Linked DNA regions of Anolis sagrei. Each later gene encodes a partner of the first gene's protein in a complex. Links are inferred from orthologs where the notes say so. Each region holds a gene or a part of one and is shown in the gene's direction. Other genes may lie near its edges.

Region 1 (12,406 bases):
TTAGATAATCCTTAATTGGTTTTCAGTCTGTTTGAGTTTTTGGTAAACCCTGATGTGTTTGTGTCTGGTATGCTAGTCTATCTGTATTCATAATTTCCATTATTTTTTTCAGCCATTCTTCGATCGTAGATGGTTTCTTACTTTGCCAATTCGTAGGACAGTAGTAGTTAACAACAATCCTACTATGGTGAAAACTGCATTGGCTAGACCACATCAGCTCTAGTTTCTGATACAGAACATATGCCATCCAGTAGTTGCCATCTACTTGCCCACAGAAAACCATATTTAATAAGCCTAGCACTATAAGGAGATTTTGTGACACCAGTCACTCTCATTTCAACAGTGTAGTAACAGTGAGGCAGCGGACCATATTTTAGTTTTTGCAGATCACTAAAATAATAGTAATAATAATAATAATAATAATAATAATAATAATAATCTGTCAAAGAGTGCTTGAGAGTGACCAAACTACAACTCCAATGGTTCCATAGCATTGAGCCATGGTGGTTGTAGTGGTGTCAAACTGTATTAATTCTACCATGTAGATGCACCCTAGCTCTCCTCACTTTCAGCACATATTTATTTATTTACTCACTGCTTTTATATCCTGCCCTTCTCATTCCTAAGGGGCCTCAGCAACTCACAGAAAAGGCACAATTCGATGCCACATATATACATACATAGAATAAACAAAACATATACATTAAAACCAAATAATTAAAACATCACCAACTTAAAACCAATTAATTAAAAAATTACACAATCAAATTATAACACCACCTCCCTCCCTCTTTCCTCCAAATACCATCCATATGCAAATTTTGCTGAGATTCTATCCCTGTTCTATCCCAACTTCATTCTGTTCCAATTTCATAGATTTTCCAAACCACACTTACCCTCTTATCTCACCCTATAATCCAATATATCATCACATGGTATGATACACATTGCATAATATCCCAGCAATCCTCTGACACTGCCAAAAACTTTCCCCTTCTTTTTTTGTTCACATGATAAACTTTGAAGAAAAGATGACAAATCCTTGGGCAGGATATTTATGAAATATTACCCATCCTCATTCTTTGAATTCTAAGCTATTATGTGTCCCATTTGGGGGGAAGTGTGATCTCAATCTAATAAATAAATATTTATGAGGGTTTGGATGATATTGTCCTTCACTTATCATCTTCCCTGTTGTTCCATGCCTCTAATGTCCTTAGCAGTGAAAATCCCTTATGGCAAGTTCTACAGATACTGTGGAATGCCAAAAACAGACAAACAAAAATGAGACACCAACAGAATATAAGGCACCAGCACTCTTCGGCAGAAAAAGCTAAAGAACTTGTAACACTACAACTCCCATGATCCTACAGCACTTAATCACAACAGTTCAAGTGGTGCTAAAACTGCATTAATTCTACACTGTAGATACACTCAGAAAGGTAACATTGATGGTGAATAACAACAACAGTTACGCCAAGTCTTCCAGCTGCTCTGAAGAGAAGCCCTTCATCTGGAAGCCCATGGCTGTCTAGGGGTCCATCTGCACTGTAGAATAAATGCAGTTTGACCCCACTTTTAACTGCATTAGCTCAATGCTATAGAATCTTGGGATTTGTAGCTTGGTGAAACCCCAGTTGTCTTTGGTAGAGAAGGTTAAAGATCAAACTCTCTGCATTTGTGTGCAAGTGGGGTCAACTGTATTAATTCTACAGTGTAGATCAGGCCTGGGAAAACTTGGGCTTATGCTTAAGTGGCTGAGGGGGGAAAGGAAAGGGCCCGAGTCTGTTGGGAATGGTGGGAGTTGAAATCTAAAACACCTCGAGGGTCAAAGTTTCCCAATGCCTGGTGCAGATACACCCTCTGAAAAACTGAGAGCAAGGACAAGAACTAGGTCCATTAGCATCCAAAAACCTGTTTCTGGTGGGGAATAACTGCAGGGTGTGCAGTTTATAGTCAGCCAGTGCATCAGCACTCTTTGGCAGAGAAGGCTACAGGCCTTGCCATTTATTTATTTATCGTATCAGAAGCGAACCAAGGGTACAGTTGTAATGTATCTTTAAACACACACACACAGTTTTAAAACTTTGATCAGTAGCTGGCCACTTGGAATACCTCTGGTGTTGCTATAAGAAGATCCTCCATTGTGCATGTGGCAAGACTCAGATTGCATTGTAATAGTGCTCTGTGGTTTGCTCTTCTCCAAACTCACATGTTGTGAACTCCACTTTGTGGCCCCATTTCTTAAGGTCTGTTCTGCATCTTGTGATGCCAGAGCACAGCCTGTTCAGCGCCTCCCAACTTGCCCAGTTTTCTGTGTGCCCAGGAGGGAGTCTCTCATTCGGTATCAGCCACTGATTGAGGTGCTGGATTTTAGCCTGCCACTTTTGGACTCTTGCTTGCTGAGGTGTTCCTAACAGTATCTCTGTAAATCTGAGGAAGCTATTTCTTGATTTAAGGTGTTGGCTTGGTGGCTGATATCAGATCAGAGGATGGGCCAGAAATGTCACTGCCTTGGTCCTTTAATTACAGATTGCTACTTCCTGATGGATGTCAAGTGGTGCAATACGGGCTAAAAAGTATAATTTCTCCAGTGGTGTTGGACATAGACATCCTGTGATAATGCAGCATGTCTCATTAAGAGTCACATCCACTGTTTTGATGTGGTGAGATGTATTCCACACTGGGCATGTATACTCCGCAGCAGAGTTGTAAAGTGCAAGGGCAGATGTCTTCACTGTGTCTGGTTGTGATCCCAAGACTGTGCCAGTCAGCTGTTGTAGGATATTATTTCTAGCTCCACTGTTTTGTTGTAGTGAGATGTATTCCACACTCGGGGTGTGCGTACTCATCAGCCGAGTAGCAACGAGCAAGGGCAAATGTCTTCACTATATCTGGTTATGACCCCCCAGGTTGTGCCAGTCACCTTTTGTATGGCCCTGCTGCAATGATTCCATAGCATTGAGGTACTTTAGCTGTAAAGTGGTGTCAAACTGGATCAGTTCTACAGAGTAGCTGCACCCTGAACCAAACTCTTCCCTTCTTGGCTATGATGGGATATGGGAGGAGGCCTTACCCAACCTCCTCCTGAGGGGTCAGCCTTGCCAGCTTTTGGCCAGCAGCCCCGGTTCCAGGCAGGCCCCTCCCTGCAAATTTGTCTAGGAGAATATCCGGGGAGCCTTAAGGGTGAGGATTGGCAGGAGGGGGCGGGGCCGAGCAAACGCGCGCGCGCGAGTGTCCAGCTCAGGGTCACGCGCCCTGAGGGCAGGGAGCGAGCACGAGAGAGAGATTGGGAGCGCGCCCAAAAGGAGGGAAGAGCGGGAGACTCTTCATTGGAGGCAGCTGAGGAAACTTGGGTGGAGGGTGGAGGGTGGAGGGTGGAGGGTGAGGGGGAGGGGGAGTCTTGCAGAGGATCCTCTCTTCTCTCACTGAGGAGGGAAAGGGGCCTTTAGGGGAGCCTCAAGCAAAGGAAAAGGGGTGGGGTAGGCAAGACTTTCAGCCTCTCTTTTCTCACTGACCAGAGGGGAAAAAGAGAAGGGAAGCTTTGTTGTGGAACCTCTTTTCTCAGAGGAAAGGGACAGTGAGTGTAATGGAGAAACCTGTCTTCTGTCTCCAAGCAGAAGAATATAAGAGTCTTATAGAGGAGCCTCTCACCTATCAGAGGAAAGTGGGGACAAGAATTATAGGGGAGCCTCTCATTCTTCATCTGCCAGAGGAGAAAAGGCTTGGGTAAAGCTTGGAGAGGACCCTCTTCGTTTCAAGTGAGGGGAGCCTTGCAAGAGCACTTTCTCCTTCCCAAGAGGAAAGGGGGATAGGCAACGTTTGGAGAGGAGCGTCTCATCTCAGAGGAAAGGTGAAGGCAAGTCTTTGCAGAGCTGCCTGTTAGTCTACCTCAATGTTTTTACACCAATCTTGTTTAGCATCTGTACTAACAACCAGCCACAACCACCACTCACAAAGAGCGTTATATACTCTGATGACTTTGGCTTAACAATACAAGCATAAGACTTTGAAACAATTGAAAACCAACTTACTAATGCCCTGAAACATCTCTCTAGCTACTACTAAGACAACCACCTGAAGCCTAGCCCTGTCGGACACAAGTGTGTGCTTTCCACTTACAAAATCGTGAAGCCAACAGGAAACTGACGGTTGCCTGGGAAGGCCAAGAATTTGAACACTGTTCCCATCCTAATTATCTCAGTGCCGCCTTACACCAAACACTAACATTTAGGAAACACTGTATGAACACCAAGCACAAAGTAGCTGCACACAATAAAATCCTGCAGAAACTTAATAATAGTGCATAGGGTGCAGATTCAGAATTAATAAAAACATCAGCCCTGGTCTTGTCTTACACAACTGCTGAGTATGCCTGTCCCCATAAATCTGCCCACATGAAGCAGGTGAATATAGCCCTGAATTAGACAAGTAGAATAATCACAGGATGTCTCAAACCTACACCTGTTAATAGACTATAAGCTAGCTAGCATTGCCCCCCCCCCCCCAAATGTGTGACAGGAAGTTGCTGCCAATTGTGAGAGTAGTAGACTCAAATCCCCACAAAGCCAATTGCTATGACTCCGTAGCCTGATTTACCTTGCAACTGCTTGTATGATGTGAACAACATGAAGTAGATAACATGCTTGAACTTCTTGAGATGGTGGAATATAAATAACATTTGGCCAAGGTGCCCAACTAAGGCATTATGAGATTATTCTTGGAATTGGGGGGGGGGGGGGGGCGCAACACCAAATTACAGAGATAAAGCAGATCAGAATGTTTTCACAATACATCATTATTACATGAGAAATAAGATTAAACATTGTGAAAACCACCTACTATATGGCTATCAGCCATCTCCAAGTAGACTGAAATCAAGGAAAAGCTTCATGAGAACCACCACTCCTCTAAATGTTCCCCCAGCAACAACAAGAGTATCCCTCTGGGCAGCTAAACCAGGAGATCTCAACTAGATGGCCACCCCACGAGGGTCCTCCTCCAGGGGCAAACCGAGAATGGGCAATGTGGAAGTCCCTGAACAAACTCAGAAGTGGAGAGGGCAGATCAAAAAACAACCTGGCAAAATGGAAATACCTAGAACAGTGTTTCTCAACCTGTGAGTGCCCAAGTGTTTTGACCTACAACTCCCAGAAATCCCAGCCAGTTTAACAGCTGTTAGGATTTCTGGGAGTTGAAGGCAAAAGCATCTAGATACCCACAGGCTGAGAACCTAGAAGAATCCTCCACCTTGTGTGACTCTGTAGCAGAACAAACAACTCCACAGCTATATGCTTGTCCACAATGCCCTGCCTCATGCACAGAGGAAGAACTGTTTAAAGCTACAGGCAAAGCAATTGCTGCTGCCTGTTTTTGGTCTAAATCTATTTAGCAGTTTGTGATCCCTTTATCTTATCCGTTTTAGATAAACTATTTTACACAATACTTTTGACACAAAATAAATAATTATTGAGTGCTACAATAAGGTTGCAAATACAGAAGTGGGTTGTTAGGTGTCCAGTGCAATCTTTGATATCAGGAACGAGGAACTCTGTAGTAGGTAAGAAATTATGAAAACTTTGTTGTTGTTTATTCATTCACTCACTTCCGAGTCTTCATGACCTCATGGACCAGCCTATGCCAGAGCTCCCTATTGGCTGTCCCCACCACCAGCTCCTTCAGAGTCAATCCAGTCACTTCAAGGATCCCATCCACCCATCTTGCCCTTGGTCGGCCCCTCTTCCTTTTTCCTTCCATTTTCCCCAGCATCACTGTCTTCCTCAAGCTTCTCATGATGTGGCCAAAGCATTTCATCTTTGCCTCCAATATCCTTCCCTCCAATGAGCAGTCCCGCTTTATTTCCTGAAGTATGAACTGGTTGGATCTTCTTGCAGTCCAGGGCACTCTCAGAATTTTCCTTCAACACCACAGTTCAAAAGCATCTATCTTCCTTCCTTTGCTTAAGGTCCTGCTCTCACATCCGTAGGTTACTATGGGGAATGCCATTGTTTTAACTATGCAGATCTTTGTTGCCAGTGTGATGTCTCTATGGACTGGTTGGATCTTCTCCCGGTCCAAGGCCCTCTCAGAATTTTCCTCCAACTATGAAAACTACTATTCAAAATATCCGGGCGGTCCAAGCTTCCCCATGCCTGCTACAGATGTGCCCAAACAACTGAATTTATGTTATCAGTTTTACCCTTATCTCTTTATGCAGTGCTTTTGGCAGGAAATAAATGAAAGCAGGGGAAGGTGTTCTTGAGCCCCCTCGCTCGCTTTCTCACCCCTAGAGGCCAGTCTCCCAGAGGACGGAGCCACTCCTCTGGAAGGTGGGGAAAGGCGTGGACAGAGAAGAGCCTCGGGGGAAAGCCTTGAAGCGGGCTCCTCACCGAGAAAAGGAACTTCTGCTCCTCCGCGGAGGAGGAAACCAGAGGGAGAGAGAGAGAGAGAGAGAAAGGGAGGAGGGAGGCAAGGAGGAGGTGCCCGCCTTCAATGCTGGCGGCACACTTGCCGGTGGCGCCGCTCGAAGGCAAGCCCAAGGCCATGGCCGGAGGGGCAGCGTGGGCGGCGGCGTGGCTGCTCTCCTCTCTGTCCTGGACTCTGGCCGGGAGCCCTCCTCCTCCCCCTCCTCCCGTCCTGTCCTTCGATTCCAGCATCGACAACCTGGCCGTGGCCGAGGGGAAGCTGCTGGTGGCCAGCGGGCGGTGCTGGTACGAGGTGGAGCCCTCGCTGTCCTCCAAGTCGGTGGGCCGGTGCCAGGAGGCCAAGGACGCCACCAACATCTTGCTCCTGCCCTTCGGCAACGAGAGCCGCCTGCTGCTGACCTGCTGGACGCGGCCGGGCTGCCTCTGCCTCCGGGAGGACCGCGCCAGGGGCCCCAACGCCACCCGGACCTTCGGGAATCAGCTGGTGAGCTCCTTGCCGGGCGTCTCTTCCGCGGGGTTGATGTACTTGAGCGCCGGGCAGTGGTTCCTCTTGGCGGCCACCAGCCACAAGCGCCCCAACGCCTCGGTCTCTGCCTGCGGGGCCGAGAGCAGCATCCTGGAGGAGGGCACCGCCACCGTGGCCGTCTTCGTCACGAGCGGGGGGAAGGGCGTGGAGCCGAACCAGTATCTGAAGCTCGCCGGCGAGCAGTACCTCAACTTCTCGGCCGTCCTGGACTGGAAGGGGCACTTCTTCTTCCCCTACTTCCACCGCAACCTCAGCGTGGAGCCCAAGATGCTGGTGGTCAAGTTGAACCCAGGCGAACTCTTCGTCCTGAAAGGGCAAGTCATCCTGCGGTGCGGGTCACGGGCGCGCATCCTCTCCTCCTCCTTCCTGGAGCCCAAAGGCCTCTGGGTCGGGCTCTTCGCGGCGGCCGAAGAAGGGGCGCCCGGGGCCACGGCCGTCTGCCTCTTCCCGCTGGAGCGCATCCTGGGCCAGGTGCAGAAGTGCAGCCAAGACACGGCGGCCGAGATCCGTTTGGACTCCCCCGGGAGCACCTGCGTGAGTAGCGGGGAGAAGGGCCGGGAGGGCTGGGCTGCAGCAGCCACCCCGTGTGGCACAACAGGCATGGGCAAACCCTCCAGCCCTCCCACCTGGAAGATTGTGTCCAATTCTGGGCAATACAAGTGAAGAGAGAGATTGACAAGCTGGAATGTGTCCAGAGGAGGGCGACTCACATGATCAAGGGTTTGGAGAACAAGCCCTATGAAGAGCGGATTCAAGAGCTGGGCATGTTTAGCCTGAAAGAGGAGAAGGCTGAGAGGAAACATGACATAAATATATGAGAGGAAATCATAGGGAGGAGGGAGCAAGCTTGTTTTCTGCTGCCCTGAAGATTAGGATGCAAAAAATGGCTTCAAACTACAAGAAAGGAGATTCCATCTGAACATTAGGAAGAACTTCCTGACTGTGAGAGCCGTTCAACAGTGGAACTCTCTGCCCCAGAGTGTGGTTAAGGCTCCTTCTTTGGAAGCTTTTAAACAGAGGCTGGATGGCCATCTGTCTGGGGTGCTCTGAATGCAATTTCCCTGCTTCTTGGCAGCAGGTTGGACTGGATGGCCCATGAGGTCTCTTCCAATTCTATGATTCTAATTCCTAACAGCCTCAGGCTCCTTCCTTTTCCTGCAGGAAAAGGTTTTCCACCAGGAAAAGGAAAGGACCTGAGGCTGTTAGGAATTGCGGGAGTTGAAGTCCAAACACGCGGAGCGAGGGCTGAAGTTTGCCCATGCCTAGTGGAGTAGTTTAAGCATTTGACTATGATTCCTGCCTTTCCTCACAGCATCAGTGACCTGTTTCGATATCAGTTTTTAAGTTCATGGTGGGGATTTAGGAAACCAGTAGGAAATTCCAAAAATGGGAGACAACTTTCCAGTCCATCTGATGTTTTTCTGCAAAAGAGGAACAGAAGATGGGGAAGTTTCTGTTACAGCTTCATTTGTGCACTAGCTTGGGAACCTGGCGGTGCTCATATTATTTGAAAAAGGCATTTTTGTTTTTGGATGTTAGATAGTATCAGTTTGATCATATGTTACTCTATTTCTTAGGGGGGGGGGGGAATAAGTCTTTGCTTTTGTTTTTTATGAATGTTCCCATAAGAAAATGCATAAGGATGTGAGTGAACTACAATTCCCAAAAATCTGGGGCCAGTTCTTCCCAAACTCCACTAGTATTCACAGTTGGCCATCTTGGGCCAAGTTTGGTTCAGATCAGACATCAGCTGGGTTCAGCCTTCTCAGGAGATGGGTGAACTATAACTCCCCACTGCCCATGCCAATCACCCCCAAACCCCGCCTGTATGCACAGTAGGTCGTGTTGGGTCTGTGTGCCAAATTTGGTCCAGATCCGACGTCGGCTGGGTTCAGTATTCTCAGGATGTGGGTGAACTGTAACTCCCCGGTGCCAATGTCAATCACCCTCAAACCCCACCTGTATGCACAGTTGGCCGTGTTGGGTCTGTGTGCCAAATGTGGTGGGTTCAGTGTTCTCTGCAAAATCTTCTGCACTTTAAAAAGAGAAAAAAGTAGGCCAGATCAGGATCTTCTGTGGGGTGAATCTAGCAAACAGGGCAGAAGTTTTCTATCAGTTTTGTACATATGTTTTATAGGTTATGAACACTAAACATGTGACAGTCTCTGTCTGTTAGCTTCCTCCTGTATTCTGCCTAACATCTTCAAGTATTCCATCTTAACATTATGATACTGAGCATCAGAGTTTACTTAGGTCAGTCTCTCTATATATGTGCAAAGAAACAGTGGGTTCCTAATGCATATAGTGGTACATTTGTTGTGTATACACAACATAACAAAGTTGAAAACAGATTAGAGTACTATCCCATGCACATCTGGCCTGAACTTTCATACTAAATTCAGTTGGGCTTTGTTTGGGCACATCTGTAGCAGGCATGGTGAAACTTAGGCTGCCCTGATATTTTGAATAGTAGTTCTCATAATTTCTTGCCAACTACAGAGTTCCTCATTCCCAATATCTAAAATTGCACTGCACATCTAGCAACCCACTTCTGTATTTGTAACACTCACGTAATCATTATTTGTTTTGTGTCAAAAGCATTGCATAAAATAGTTTATCCACAACTGATAAAATAAAGGGATCACAAGGTGCTAGATAGTTTTAGACCAAAAACAGGCAACAGCGATTGCATTCTGTAGCTTTAAACAATTCTTCCTCTGTGCATGATGCAGGGCATTGTGGACAAGCATACAGATGCTGAGTTGTTTGTTCTACTCCAGTCACACAAAGTGGAGGATTCTGCTAGGTAGTACCATTTTGCCAGGTTGTCCTTTGATCTGCCAACTCCGCCCCTAAGTCTGTTCAGTGACTTCCAAGTTGCTCATTCTTGGTTTGCCCCTGGAGGAAGACCCTCATGGGAGGGGGGATCCAGTTGGAATTGCCTGATTTTGCTGCCCACAGGGATATTTTTGCTGTTGCTGGAGGAACATTTAGAGGAGTGGTGGTTCTCATGAAACTTTTCCTTGATTTAAGTCTACTGGGAGGAGACTGAGAGCCATATAATGGGTGGCTTTCACAATGTTCAACCTTATTTCTCATGTAATCATGATGCATTGTGAAAACAGTCTGGTCTGCTTTATCTTTGCAATGTGGTGTTGGCCCCCAAATTCCAAGAATAATCTCATAATGCTTTAGTTGGGCACCTTGGCCAAATGTTATTTTTATTCCACCATCCCCTCAAGAAGTTCAGGCATGTTATCTACTTCACGTTCTTCACATCATACAAGCAGTTGCAAGGTAAATCAGGCTAAGTCAGAGCAATTGGCTTTGTGGGGATTTAAAACTATGTTTCCTCAGTCAAAGTCTAACATTGCCCATGTCATCATCTTGATCTGCATCCAGTTTTTCTTAGCGTACATAAGCAATCTGATTTTAGCACTCTTGCAAATATATAGAGCAGGAGTATCAAACTCATTTTTTAAGGGCCACATAAACCTTCAACGGGCCATTGAATCCATGGATGGTGAATCCGTAGATACAGAGAGCCAACTATATATTTTTAACATAATGGTCAGTACTCTTTAGTTTTTACCCAGTTTGGGTCTCCAGATGTTATTGAATGACAACTCGCATCACTTTTGATTGTCCATCATGCAGACTAAAGATAATGGGAATTGCAACCCAACAACATTAGTGGCTCTGGGGTGGGGAAATTTTAAAGTCAGACATATCTACAAGCCTTGTATCTAAATTCAAACCCCATTCTCCTGACTAAACAGAACAAACTGCAGCCTTCCAACTAATGTATCACAGCTCCCACCAGCTCTAGTCATGAAATCTAATGATGAGAAATAAAGGTGTAGTAGACAAGCATCTGGAGATCCACATAAAATGATATGGTGGGCCAGATTTCTGTTTGGCACATGTGGTATCTGAAATGTACTTAGATACTTGGCTTTTACATTCTTAAAAAGTTGACAGATATCATTCTGCTGTAAAACAATCAACAATAAGCACTATTTAAGTACTTGGTCAGCTTCTAATTGCAATCAGTAGGCCTTAAATGCTGACTGTTGGCTGACTCAGAAACAGGGTTACTAAGATATTATAGCTAGCTTGTTGGAGTTTTGTGAAAGAAGACCTTGTGACATTACTCAACATGAGAAGTAAGAACTTTGGTTTGCAGTGGCAAAACACAGTTATGCAACAATTGTACAAAGAAGGCTTTTCAAGTTAAAATTATATGCTAAAGTTTGTGTTATGTGATGAAACGGGGGGGGGGGGGGGATGCCAGTTGTGCATTAAGATGCATCCTTTATTAAGTATTAAAGCACAAATGGCTGCAAGTACTCTTGAGTCAAAGAACAATTTGCTGCTGTAATGTCTTGTTGCCTTAAAAGCCTTGCGGGGCAGAATTGTACTCTGCTAGAATTGTATCAAGTCACACCAACAAATAGATCAAGCATGGTAAATAATTTCCCCTAAAGCAATCCTGTTAGCATTTTTGGAAAATGGAAATCTCCATAACCTTTTGGAGATTTCATGGTCTTTGGAAAGGCATGACCTTGTTAGAAGTCACAACCTTTTGAAAAATGATGCCATAACTTCTTGGTAAAAGCATGACCTGTTTGAGCCATAACCTTTTGGGAAAATGGGGTCCATGCAAGGCAATCAGGTTTATCAGCTATTAGAATGATAAACTTAGACATTTCTTTGTTCTTTTAGGGACAAAGATATGCCAATGCACAAAACACACATATATAGCAGAGTTTCAGAAGTGTTATTTCAGTTGCCCAAAAATCATCTACTCTCCTCTAAAACATCTTGGTTTAAATCATGCTCTCAAGAGACAAAAATACGCATACTTCTTTAAAAGTAACATAGTCGGTTTATTCACAGACTTCAATGTCAATGCCCACCAAACGCTTCCAGTATTTTCTGTTGGTCATGGGAGTTCTGTGTGCCAAGTTTGGTTCAATTCAATTGTTGGTGGAGTTCAGAATGCTCTTTGATTGCAGGAGAACTATGAATTCCAGCAATACAACTCTCAAATGACAAAATCAATCCCCTCACAGCCCCAACCTCACCAGTATTCAAATTTGAGAGTATTGGGTATTTTTGCCAAATTTGGCCCAGTGAATGAAAATACATCCTGCATATCAGATATTTACATTATGATGTATAACACTAGCAAAATTACAATTATGAAGTAGCAACAAAAATAATGTTATGGTTGGGGGTCACCACAACATGAAGAACTGTATTAAGAGGTCGCGGCATTAGGAAGATTGTGAACCACTGAGTTAGATTGATTAATGTAATAACTAGAATCATACAGTTGGAAGAGTCCACAAAGACCTTGCCATGCAGGAATACACAATCAAAGCACTCCCAACAGATGGCCAACCAGTGGCTGCTTAAAAACCTCAAGAGAAAAAAACTCCACCACAACCCA
Region 2 (11,341 bases), on another chromosome or scaffold:
CCAGGAAATGAACTCGATAGTTTCCTATTACAGCTCCTTATTCCTACCTGGAAACCCCTGAGGAGTGATTCACGGTGCGCTACGCCACAGGCACACATCCATTTACGGCTCAAGGAGCTGAAAAAGGAAATCCTCTAAGTCACCCAAGCAATCGAAATCAATAATATGAGTTATGATTGGGATTGCGAGACCTTGAGGTCACACGGGCATCCTCACCATGACTTGCCTTTAGAGCTTCCTGCTTTTACCAGCAATCCATATTCAGGGCGCATCAGCACCAGGAATGGGCAAACCCAGGGCTCGGGCCAGATGTGGCCCCCCTTGGGCCCTTTTCTCAGGCCCTCCTTTTCCTCACCATCCTATCCTTCCTTCCTTCTCTCCTTCCTTCCGCCTTCCCTCCCTCTTTCTCCTTCCATTCCACTCTTGTCCTTCCTTCCCTCTCTCTCCCTCTCTCTCCTTCCTTCCTTCCTGCTTTCCTTCTCTCTTTCCTCCCTCTCCTCCTTTTCTCTCCCCCCATTTCCTTCAACCCTTTTGTCCTTCCTTCTCTCTTTCCTTCCTCCTCGCCTTTCCTTAATTTCCTTCTACCCTTTCATCCTTCCCTCACTTTTGTCTTTCCTTTCTTCTCTCATTTCTTCCTCCAAACCTGCCTCCCTCTCTTTCCTTCCTTCCCTTTCACCTATTCATCCTTACTTCCCTCTCTCATCCCTCTCTCCCTCTTTCTCCTTCTTCTCTTCCCTTTTGTCTTTCCTTCCTTCTCTCTATAATCCTACCCTTTCATCCTTCCCCCCCTTTCTCTTTCTTTCCTTCCATCCTTCCTTCCCTCTTTCCTTTCTTCCTTCCCTCTCTTCCTTTTTTCTCTTTCCATCCTTCCCTTCCTTCCCTTTTGTCTTTCCTTCCTTCTCTCTTCCCTTCCTCCAAACCTCCCTCCCTCTCTTTCCTTCCTTCCCTTTCACCTATTCATCCTTACTTCCCTCTCTCATCCCTCTCTCCCTCTTTCTCCTTCTTCTCTTCCCTTTTGTCTTTCCTTCCTTCTCTCTATAATCCTACCCTTTCATCCTTCCCCCCCTTTCTCTTTCTTTCCTTCCATCCTTCCTTCCCTCTTTCCTTTCTTCCTTCCCTCTCTTCCTTTTTTCTCTTTCCATCCTTCCCTTCCTTCCCTTTTGTCTTTCCTTCCTTCTCTCTTCCCTTCCTCCAAACCTCCCTCCCTCTCTTTCCTTCCTTCCCTTTCACCTATTCATCCTTACTTCCCTCTCTCATCCCTCTCTCCCTCTTTCTCCTTCTTCTCTTCCCTTTTGTCTTTCCTTCCTTCTCTCTATAATCCTACCCTTTCATCCTTCCCCCCCTTTCTCTTTCTTTCCTTCCATCCTTCCTTCCCTCTTTCCTTTCTTCCTTCCCTCTCTTCCTTTTTTCTCTTTCCATCCTTCCCTTCCTTCCCTTTTGTCTTTCCTTCCTTCTCTCTTCCCTTCCTCCAAACCTCCCTCCCTCTCTTTCCTTCCTTCCCTTTCACCTATTCATCCTTACTTCCCTCTCTCATCCCTCTCTCCCTCTTTCTCCTTCTTCTCTTCCCTTTTGTCTTTCCTTCCTTCTCTCTATAATCCTACCCTTCCATCCTTCCCCCCCTTTCTCTTTCTTTCCTTCCATCCTTCCTTCCCTCTTTCCTTCCTCCTTCCCTCTCTCCTTTTTTTCTCTTTCCATCCTTCCCTTCCTTCCCTTTTGTCCTTCCTTCCTTCCTTCCTTCCTTCCTTCCTTCCTTCCTTCCACCTACTCATCCACCCATCCACCCACCCATCCCTGGGCAGCCAGTCCTGTGAGCAGGGAATGCTAGCACGTGGCCCCCAAGTTAGAAAGTTTGCCCATGCTTGATCTACACTGTAGAGTTAATGCAATTTGATACCACTTATACTGCCGTGGCTGAGTGCTATGGAAACATGAAAGTTGGAAAAAAGAGGGCAAACTAGAAATCCCAGGGTTCCATAGCACTGAGCCTTGGCAGTTCAAGTGGTATTGATCTGCATTAATTCGACAGTGTGGACACACCCGCGGCCATCCGTCCTTTTCCATTTGCGAACCAAGGCACAGGCTGGTCTCTATTTTATCTCCTTCGTTTCCTCCTGGTCCTCCAAAGTATTTGAAGGGTCGGGTCACATTTCCTCAATTCCTCTCCTAAAGCATAATGTGTTTTGACTAATGACTCATTAATTGCAGTCCGGCCTTAACACCCTCCCAAGTTCAAGAGAAAAGCCACAGGAGGGGGAAACAGGCGTGCGTGCGATGACCCCCCGGGGCGTTTGGCTGGCTGGCTCGGACTCCTTTCTTGGGTCCAGCTATACTGTAAAGCCAATGCCGCTGGACCCCACGTGAGCCTCCTTGGCTGGGGCATCACTGAAGCTGTAGTTTGGTGAGGCACCAGGCTTTGCAAAACTACAGTTCCAATGATCTTACCACATTGAATAGAACTGCTTTCAAAGTACGCATAGTGTCTAGATCTAAGGAAGTCATGCTCCCCATGCTCTATTCCGCTTTGGTTAGACCACACCTGGAATATTGTGTCCAATTCTGGGCACCACAATTCAAGAGAGATATTGACTCTAAGCTGGAATGTGTCCAGAGGAGAGCGACTAAAATGATAAAAGGTCTGGAGAACAAGCCCTATGAGGAGCGGCTTAAGGAGCTGGGCATGTTTAGCCTGAAGAAGAGAAGGCTGAGAGGAGATATGATAGCCATGTATAAATAAATATGTGAGAGGAAGCCACAGGGAGGAGGGAGCAAGCTTGTTTTCTGCTTCCTTGGAGACTAGGGTCTGGAGAACAAGCCCTATGAGGAGCGGCTTAGGGAACTGGGCATGTTTAGCCTGAAGAAGAGAAGGCTGAGAGGAGACATGATGAGAGCCATGTATAAATATGTGAGAGGAAGCCACAGGGAGGAGGGAGCAAGCTTGTTTTCTGCTTCCTTGGAGACTAGGGTCTGGAGAACAAGCCCTATGAGGAGCGGCTTAGGGAACTGGGCATGTTTAGCCTGAAGAAGAGAAGGCTGAGAGGAGACATGATGAGAGCCATGTATAAATAGGTGAGGGGAAGCCACAGGGAGGAGGAGGGAGCAAGCTTGTTTTCTGCTTCCCTGGAGACTAGGGTCTGGAGAACAAGCCCTATGAGGAGCGGCTTAGGGAACTGGGCATGTTCAGCCTGAAGAAGAGAAGGCTGAGAGGAGATATGATAGCCATGTATAACTATGTGAGAGGAAGCCACAGGGAGGAGGAGGGAGCAAGCTTGTTTTCTGCTTCCTTGGAGACTAGGACGCAAGGGAACAATGGCTTCAAACTACAAGAGAGGAGATTCCACCTGAACACGAGGAAGAACTTCCTGACTGTGAGAGCCGTTCAGCAGTGGAACTCTCTGCCCCGGAGGGAGTGTGGTGGAGGCTCCTTCTTTGGAAGCTTTTAAGCAGAGGCTGGGTGGCCATCTGTCAGGGGTGATTTGAATGCAATATTCCTGCTTCTTGGCAGAATGGGGTTGGACTGGATGAAGGCCCAGGAGGTCTCTTCCAACTCTTTATTCTATGATTCTAGGATTCTGCACAATTAAACACGAAATAGCACTTTCAATCGAGGAACAAAACATTTTTCAAATTTTGTTACATAGTAGTGTTGTTGTTGTTGTTGTTGTTATTGATGCCCACCTGGAAATGATGCTCGTATCTCAATATACCCCCTGGACACTCAATAAGCCCCAGCTCAAGGATGGAGCAACGACTGAAAGGACCTGAGCCTACCTGCATAGATTCTAATTTCTCATTGTGTGGATTGATACCACAGGGAAAGCGGTCAATGCGTCTTGGAAAAGACAACCTTGTAGGACTAAGCAAATAATAGTTTGCCTAGACACACAATAAAAGTGAAAATATGTATGTGTGTGTGTGGCTGGGGTGTCCACTGACACAGAGAGGCTGCCACTTGCATGAATAGCTATAGCTCCCACTACTCAGGAGATACCAAAGGCCAGGAGATACCAAAAGAGGAGGGCGACTCAAATGATCAAGGGTCTGGAGAACAAGCCCTATGAGGAACGGCTTAAAGAGCTGGGCATGTTTAGCCTGAAGAAGAGAAGGCTGAGAGGAGACATGATGATAGCCATGTATAAATATGTGAGAGGAAGCCACAGGGAGGAGGGAGCAAGCTTGTTTTCTGCTTCCTTGGAGACTAGGACGCAATGGAACAATGGCTTCAAACTACAAGAGAGGAGATTCCATCTGAACATTAGGAAGAACTTCCTGACTGTGAGAGCCGTTCAGCAGTGGAACTCTCTGCCCCGGAGGGAGTGTGGTGGAGGCTCCTTCTTTGGAAGCTTTTAAGCAGAGGCTGGATGGCCATCTGCCAGGGGTGCTTTGAATGCAATATTCCTGCTTCTTGGCAGAATGGGGTTGGACTGGGTGATGGCCCACCAAGTCTCTTCCAACTCTTTGATTCTATGATTCCCTCCAATGACATTGCCGGTTATAGTGAGCACCACGACCATGTCCAAGAGCCCGGCCAATGTCCTCCACAGACACCACACTGCCCACCACCCCAGTGAAGGCGTTCATTCAGGGACAACTTCATCTATAGTTATGTGTTTCCTCCACCACAGACATCCCAGTGTTTCTTACTTCTCTCTATTTGCATGACCCCGCCCACTGCCTCTCCCTGATTAACCCTTTCCTATTCTTTTCTATGGCACACGGCAAACAGAGCAGAATAGATCTGCATCTGAACCTACTGGAGAACTTTGGGGAGAATTCACCATGATTTGTAGGTACTGGGATGTATAGTTCACTTTCAATCTAAGAGCACTCTGAACTCTACCAATGATGGAGCAAGGAACTAACTTGGCGCACAGAACCCCCATGACCAACAAAACATAGTGGGAGGTCTTTGGAGGGATTTAGAGGAGTTGTAGTTCACCTACATCCAGAGAGCACTATGAATCCAAACAAGGATGGATCTGGACCAAACTTGGCGTGCATATCCAATATGCCCACATTTGGGTACTGGTGGGTTTTGAGGGGAATTGGCCTGGACATTTTGGGATTGTAGGTAATGGGATGTATAGCTCACCTGCAATCAATGAGCACTATGAACTTCACCAACGATGGACCTGGAACGAACTTGGCACAAAATTATCAGCAAAAAATACTGAAGGTCTTTGGGGGGAATTCACCTTGATTTGGGGGAGTTGTAGTTCACCTACATCCAGAGAGCACTGTGAACCCAAACACAGATGGATCTGGACCAAACTTGGCACACAGATAGGATATGCTGAAATTTGATTACAGGAGGGGTTTGGGGGGAACTGACTTTCTTTTCTGGGAGTTGCAGTTCACCCACGACCAGAGAAACTCTGACCTCCACCAATGATGGCCCTGGGCCAAACTGGGCACACACAGAGCCCCCATGACTAACTCAACCTACGGGAGGGTTTTCAGGGGACTGACTCACCATAGTGGGAGTTGTAGTTTACCCTGCAGCCAGGGTGCATATTGAACCCCATCGATGTTGCATCTAGGGCAAACTTGCCCAACATAACAAACGTTAACTACTGATGGAGCTTCCTCACTCACCTGGTGATGCGGAGGTGGCTGCTGCTGCTGCTGCCGCCGCTGAGGGCGCCTGTTTCCGGGCCACGCCCCTCGCTCCCCATTGGCCGGCGCCGCCCCTATTTCTTCTCCTGCGAGCATGAAGCAGCGGCGGCGGCGTGAGTTTGGCCGAGGCGAGATTGGCCATGGCTGGCGCGTGGACGCGGAGGTCTGGCGGGCTGCTGGGCTGCTGCTGCTTCTTGGCGGGGCTGTGCCTGCCTTCCCTGCCGGCAGCCTCCTCCTCCTCTTCGGCGAGCCCCAGGATCCTCACTCCCCCGAGAGGTAAGGCCGGACCCAGGAGCCCGACCAAGGGTGTCTTCCTTCCTTCCTTCCCCGCCCGCCTGCCTGATGGGGTAGCCCTGTGGCCGGGGGGGGGGGGGGGGGCTCACCACAGCCACATAGATCTCTCCCTCCCTCTCCGTCTCTGCACGCAAAAAGAAGTTGGGTCTGAGCTGGGGGCTAAGCAGGGCCAGCCCCGGTTGGCCCTTGGGTGGGAGACGGAATCCCAAGTCAGGCAGTGGACGGTCTCCCGGGGGGCTAGCCCTTGTCCCTTGGCCCTTGTGGGCTCGCTGGGGATACTCCCAGTTCCCTTGCCCGAGCCTTCAGTGGCGTTGACCGTGCCTGGGCTTCTAATGGACAAGAGCGGGTTCCTGTCCTCTCTTGAAGGCGGTGGTTCTCAGCCTTCCTCGTGCCGCGATCCCTATATACCGCTCCTTATGTAGGGGCATACTTACCTCTCCCAACGCATCTCCTCCCATGAACCGACTGGGACACTCAGATCGTCTGGGGAGGCCCCGCTCTCTGTCCCGCCTGCATCACAGGCACGCTTGGCGGGGACGAGAGACAGGGCCTTCTCGGTGGTGGCCCCTCGGCTGTGGAACACCTTTGGACACTAAGATCGTCTGGGGAGGCCCCGCTCTCGGTCCCACCTGCATCACAGGCACGCTTGGCGGGGACGAGAGACAGGGCCTTCTCAGTGGTGGCCCCTCGGCTGTGGAACGCCCTGCCTGCAGGTATCAGACAGGCACCTTCGTTGCTGGTGTTTCGGAGAAAGGTCAAGACCTGGCTGTTCGAACAAGCATTTGATTAAACAGTGTAATTGAACATAGGAATACGGAATAATGAATGACGAGACTGGACTCTGATTTTAGTGCTGAGGCGCTCATGATTGTTATTCGGATGTTAATGATTTATGTTACAATTGCTTTTAATTGCCGTATACTTGTTTTGTGATATATTTGTGCTGATGTTGTTCACCGCTCTGAGTCGCCTGAGGGCTGAGAAAAGCGGTATAGAAATAAAGTAAATAAATAAAATAAATAATGATGATGTGGTGACCCCCAACCGTAACATTATTTTTGTTACTACTTTCATAACTGTAAATTTTCTACTGTTAAAAATCATAATGTAAATATCTGAGATGCAGGATGTATTTTAATTCACTGGACCAAATTTGGCACAAATACCCAATATGCCCACATTTGAATACTGGTGAGGTCTTTTTTGTGGGGGGGGGGGGGGGGGATTGAGTTTGTGTTTGGGAGTGGTAGCTGCTGGGATGTATAGCTCACCTACAATCAAAGAGCATTTTGAACTCCACCAGTGATGGAATTGAACCAAACTTGGCCCACAGAAAATACTGGAAGTGCTTGGTGGGCACTGACCTTGAGTTTGGGAGTTGTAGCTCACCTACATCCAGAGAGTCAAGCTAGGATGGATCTGGACCAAACTTGGCACAACGACTCAATATGCCCAAATGTGGACACTGGTGGAGTTTGGGGGAAATGGACCTTGGGAGTTGTAGTTGCTGGGATTTATAGTTCACCTACAATCAAAGAGCATTCTGAACCCCACCAACTATAGAATTGGGCCAAACCTCCCACACAGAACCCCATAACCAACAGAAAATACTGTGTTTTTCTGATGGTCTTTGGTGACCCCTTTGATACCCCCTCGTGACCCCCCTAGAGGTCCTGACCCTCAGGTTGAGAAACGCTGCTTTAAGGCGTCCTGGTTTGGTATTTTATGATTGGGTCTCTCGGTACCTATTGGTTCTGGAAGTACAACACCTGCGGTCTAAGCATTCAGTCAAACTGATTGATTTAATAGTATTACATAGTAGTAGTAGTACTTTGGAGTAGTAGCAGGAGGTGTGGTTGTTTGTCTGTTAAAAAATTGCAATACTACCGTTTGGTTTCCTCCTGATACAATAAATAAATAAAATATTGGAGTAGGAGTAGGAGTAGTATGGAGTAGAAGTAGGTAGATAATGTTGTATAGAGAGGAGATTCCACCTGAACATGAGGAAGAACTTCCTGACTGTGAGAGCCGTTCAGCAGTGGAACTCTCTGCCCCGGAGGGAGTGTGGTGGAGGCTCCTTCTTTGGAAGCTTTGAAACAGAGGCTGGATGGCCATCTGTCAGGGGTGATTTGAATGCAATATTCCTGCTTCTTGGCAGAATGGGGTTGGACTGGATGATGGCCCAGGAGGTCTCTTCCCACTCTAGGATTCTATGATTCTATGATTCTATGTAGTACGTAGTAGTTAATATTAAGAGTACATTCTGAGTCCCTCCATGGAGGTCAAGAAGGGTGGGGTAGAAGTGTTTTAAATAAATAAATAAATAAATAGCACATAGTAGTTAATATTAATAGTACATAATAGCATGATGTAGTAGTACTTAGTAGTATGTAGTAGCTATACTAGTACTGCTTAGTAGTATGTAGTAGCAGTAGTACTACATATATTGCTAGGAGGAGCAGTAGTGCGTAGTGGTGGTAGGGCGTAGTAGTATGTAGTGGTAAATATTAATATTACATAATAGTACATGCTAGTTAATAATAGTAGCACACAATAGTTACTAATAATACATTGAAAATAAATAAATAAATAAGTGCCCCCCCCCCCCCCTTGAATGGCCATGACTCCTTTTCCCCTCCTCCACTTAAGCTTAAACGGCGGGGGTGCGGGGGTGGAAGGAAAGGGCCCGAGGTTGTTAGGAATTGTGGGAGTTGAAGTCCACAACACCTGGAGGGAGGGAGGGAGGGAGGGAGGGCCAAGCTTTGCCCAGGTCTGATATAAATACACCCACAATTAGGGAGATGTATTCCTTCCACACCTTTCCACACCTTGGGCTGCACCCAACTCTTAAGCAGTTTAACGTTGTTGCACTTCAACTCCCATCGACCTGACAATGGTGTAGGCAATTTGTGAAGCTGTGAGCAGGTTGCTTTCCTGCTTGGCTCACCTGGGATGGCCATCTCAACGCTTTGCCAAATCCAGCGTCTTCGCTCACCCCAAATAGTAGGGTTGGTGCTCTGGAGGCAGGTTGGACTCTTTTTCCGTCCACAGAGACGCCTTATGTAGGTGTGTGGCTTTTACGCAGTGGTAATTGCATAGTGAGGCCAGACCCAAATTGAAGGGAGGATCAGTTTGAGATTGGCAGGGCGGCACTTTGTATTTCTTTTGCTGCGTTCTTGAGATCCAGTGGCCAGATTCTGGTTCCTTAAGTGGGGGCGGGGGGGGGGGGGGCATCTGCACTGGAGAACAGGCAGGGGCAAACTCTCTCACTTGGGGGAGAGACGGAAGGAAGGGTGGGAGGGAAGGATGGAAGGAGAAAGAGGGCAAGGAAAGGAGGGAAGAAATAGGGAAGGAATGAAGGATGAAAGATGGAAGGAGAAAGAGATGGAAGGAGGGAAGAGATGGAAGGAGGGAGGAGAGAGGAAGGAAGGAAGGAAGGAAGGAAGGAAGGAAGGAAGGAAGGAGGAGAGGGTGGGAGGGAGGGAGGAAGGAAAGAAGGAGGGATGGAAGGAGAAAGAGGGCAAGGAAAGGAGGGAAGAAATAGGGAAGGAATGAAGGGTGAAAGATGAAAGAGGAAGGGATGGAAGGAGAAAGAGATGGAAGGAGGGAGGAGAGAGGAAGGAAGGAAGGAAGGAAGGAAGGAAGGAAGGAAGAGAGGGTGGGAGGGAGGGAGGAAGGAAAGAAGGAGGGATGGAAGGAGAAAGAGGGCAAGGAAAGGAGGGAAGAAATAGGGAAGGAATGAAGGGTGAAAGATGAAAGAGGAAGGGATGGAAGGAGAAAGAGATGGAAGGAGGGAGGAGAGAGGAAGGAAGGAAGGAAGGAAGGAAGGAAGGAAGGAAGGAAGGAAGGAAGAGAGGGTGGGAGGGAGGAAGGAAAGAAGGAAGGATGGAAGGAGAAAGAGGGCAAGGAAAGGAGGGAAGAAATAGGGAAGGAATGAAGGGTGAAAGATGAAAGAGGAAGGGATGGAAGGAGAAAGAGATGGAAGGAGGGAGGAGAGAGGAAGGAAGGAAGGAAGGATGGAAGGAGAAAGAGGGCAAGGAAAGGAGGGAAGAAATAGGGAAGGAATGAAGGGTGAAAGATGAAAGAGGAAGGGATGGAAGGAGAAAGAGATGGAAGGAGGGAGGAGAGAGGAAGGAAGGAAGGAAGGAAGGAAGGAAGGAAGGAAGGAAGGAAGGAAGGAGGAGAGGGTGGGAGGGAGGAAGGAAAGAAGGAAGGATGGAAGGAGAAAGAGGGCAAGGAAAGGAGGGAAGAAATAGGGAAGGAATGAAGGATGAAAGATGAAAGAGGAAGGGATGGAAGGAGAAAGAGATGGAAGGAGGGAGGAGAGAGGAAGGAAGGAAGGAAGGAAGGAAGGAAGGAAGGAAGGAAGGAAGGAAGGAAGGAAGGAAGGAGGAGAGGGTGAGAGGGAGGAAGGAAAGAAGGAAGGATGGAAGGAGGGAGAGGGAAGGAGGGAGAAAAGAAGGAAATTTATTGTTGTTATTTACCGTATTTACACCCTGTGTTTCTCACCCCGGAAGGGACTCAAGGCGGCCTTACAACAAGCAGCAATTTGTTGCCGTACATCCATGTCTCAAATACACAATAACAATTAAAACATGAATGATTGAAACCTCAATTCAAATCACACCATCCAAAACGTAATCCAGAGCCGTTCCATTTGTCAACCACAATGACGAAAGGGAGGGAAGGAAGGGTGAAAGGGTGAAGTATGGAAGGAGGAAGGAAAAAGAGAAGAAAGGAAGAGAAGGATGGAAGGATAAAGGAAAAAGAGAAGGAAGGGAAGACAAAAGGGAAGAAAAGGAAAGAGGGAGAGAGAGATGAAAGAGGGAAGGACAAAAGGGTGGAAGGGGATGGAGCCAAGGAGGAAAGAGGGAAGGAAAAAGAGGACGAGGGAAGGAGAAGGAAAGAGGAAGAGAGGAAGGATAGGATGGTGTGAGAGAGGAGGGACTCAGAAAAAAGCCCAAGGGGCCACATCTGGGTTTTCCTATACCTGCCGTAGGATTAATCTAGTTTGGCACTACTTTGCCATGACTCAGTGGTATGGCATCCTGGGAGTTATAGTTCGGAGATGCATGTAACCCTCTTTGGTAGAGAAGGCCCAAGACCTTGTAAAACTACAACTCCCATTTGCAGTTCACTGCTCACTGGAGCCCCGGTGGCGCAATGGGTTCAACCCCTGTGCCAGCAGGACTGAAGACCGACAGGTCGCAGGTTTGAATCCGGGGAGAGGCGGATGAGCTCCCTCTATCAGCTCCAGCTCCTCATGCGAAGGGGACATGAGAGAAGCCTCCCACAAGGATGATAAAAAAACATCAATTCATCTGGGCATCCCCTGGGCAACGTCTTTGCAGACAGCCAATTCTCTCACACCGGAAGGGACTTGCAGTTTATCAAGTTGCTCCTGACACGACCAAAAAAAAAGTTCACTCAGTTC

What was found.
Region 2: the proteins of PLXNC1 (region 1) and SEMA7A are in contact, whole or in part, in a crystal structure (PDB 3NVQ), measured with the Homo sapiens proteins. The link is inferred for Anolis sagrei from reciprocal best matches to the Homo sapiens genes PLXNC1 and SEMA7A. Residues at the interface, in NP_005752.1 of Homo sapiens: Arg131, Thr151, Glu152, Val153, Asn195, Pro196, Ala197, Ala198, Ser199, Asp200, His201, Thr203, Ala206, Lys208, Arg213, Ser214, Leu215, Ala216, Thr217, Gln218, Glu219, Leu220, Arg222, Lys224, Glu272, Ala350, Ser352, His353; in NP_003603.1 of Homo sapiens: Gln194, Tyr196, Asn197, Gly198, Lys199, Arg202, Arg204, Tyr213, Ser215, Asp216, Thr217, Gln270, Gly271, Gly272, Glu273, Ser274, Ser275, Leu276, Val278, Ser279, Lys280, Pro372, Thr375, Glu376, Phe378, Gln379, Asp382, Arg383.

What each region holds. Positions count from the first base shown.
Region 1 is NC_090025.1:154,775,841-154,788,246, forward strand, and holds the start of PLXNC1 (plexin-C1), read left to right. Parts: upstream 1-6,364; 5' UTR 6,365-6,492; coding exon 6,493-7,485; intron 7,486-12,406.
Region 2 is NC_090023.1:274,684,453-274,695,793, forward strand, and holds the start of SEMA7A (semaphorin-7A), read left to right. Parts: upstream 1-5,726; 5' UTR 5,727-5,753; coding exon 5,754-5,889; intron 5,890-11,341. UniProt on the Homo sapiens protein: Plays an important role in integrin-mediated signaling and functions both in regulating cell migration and immune responses.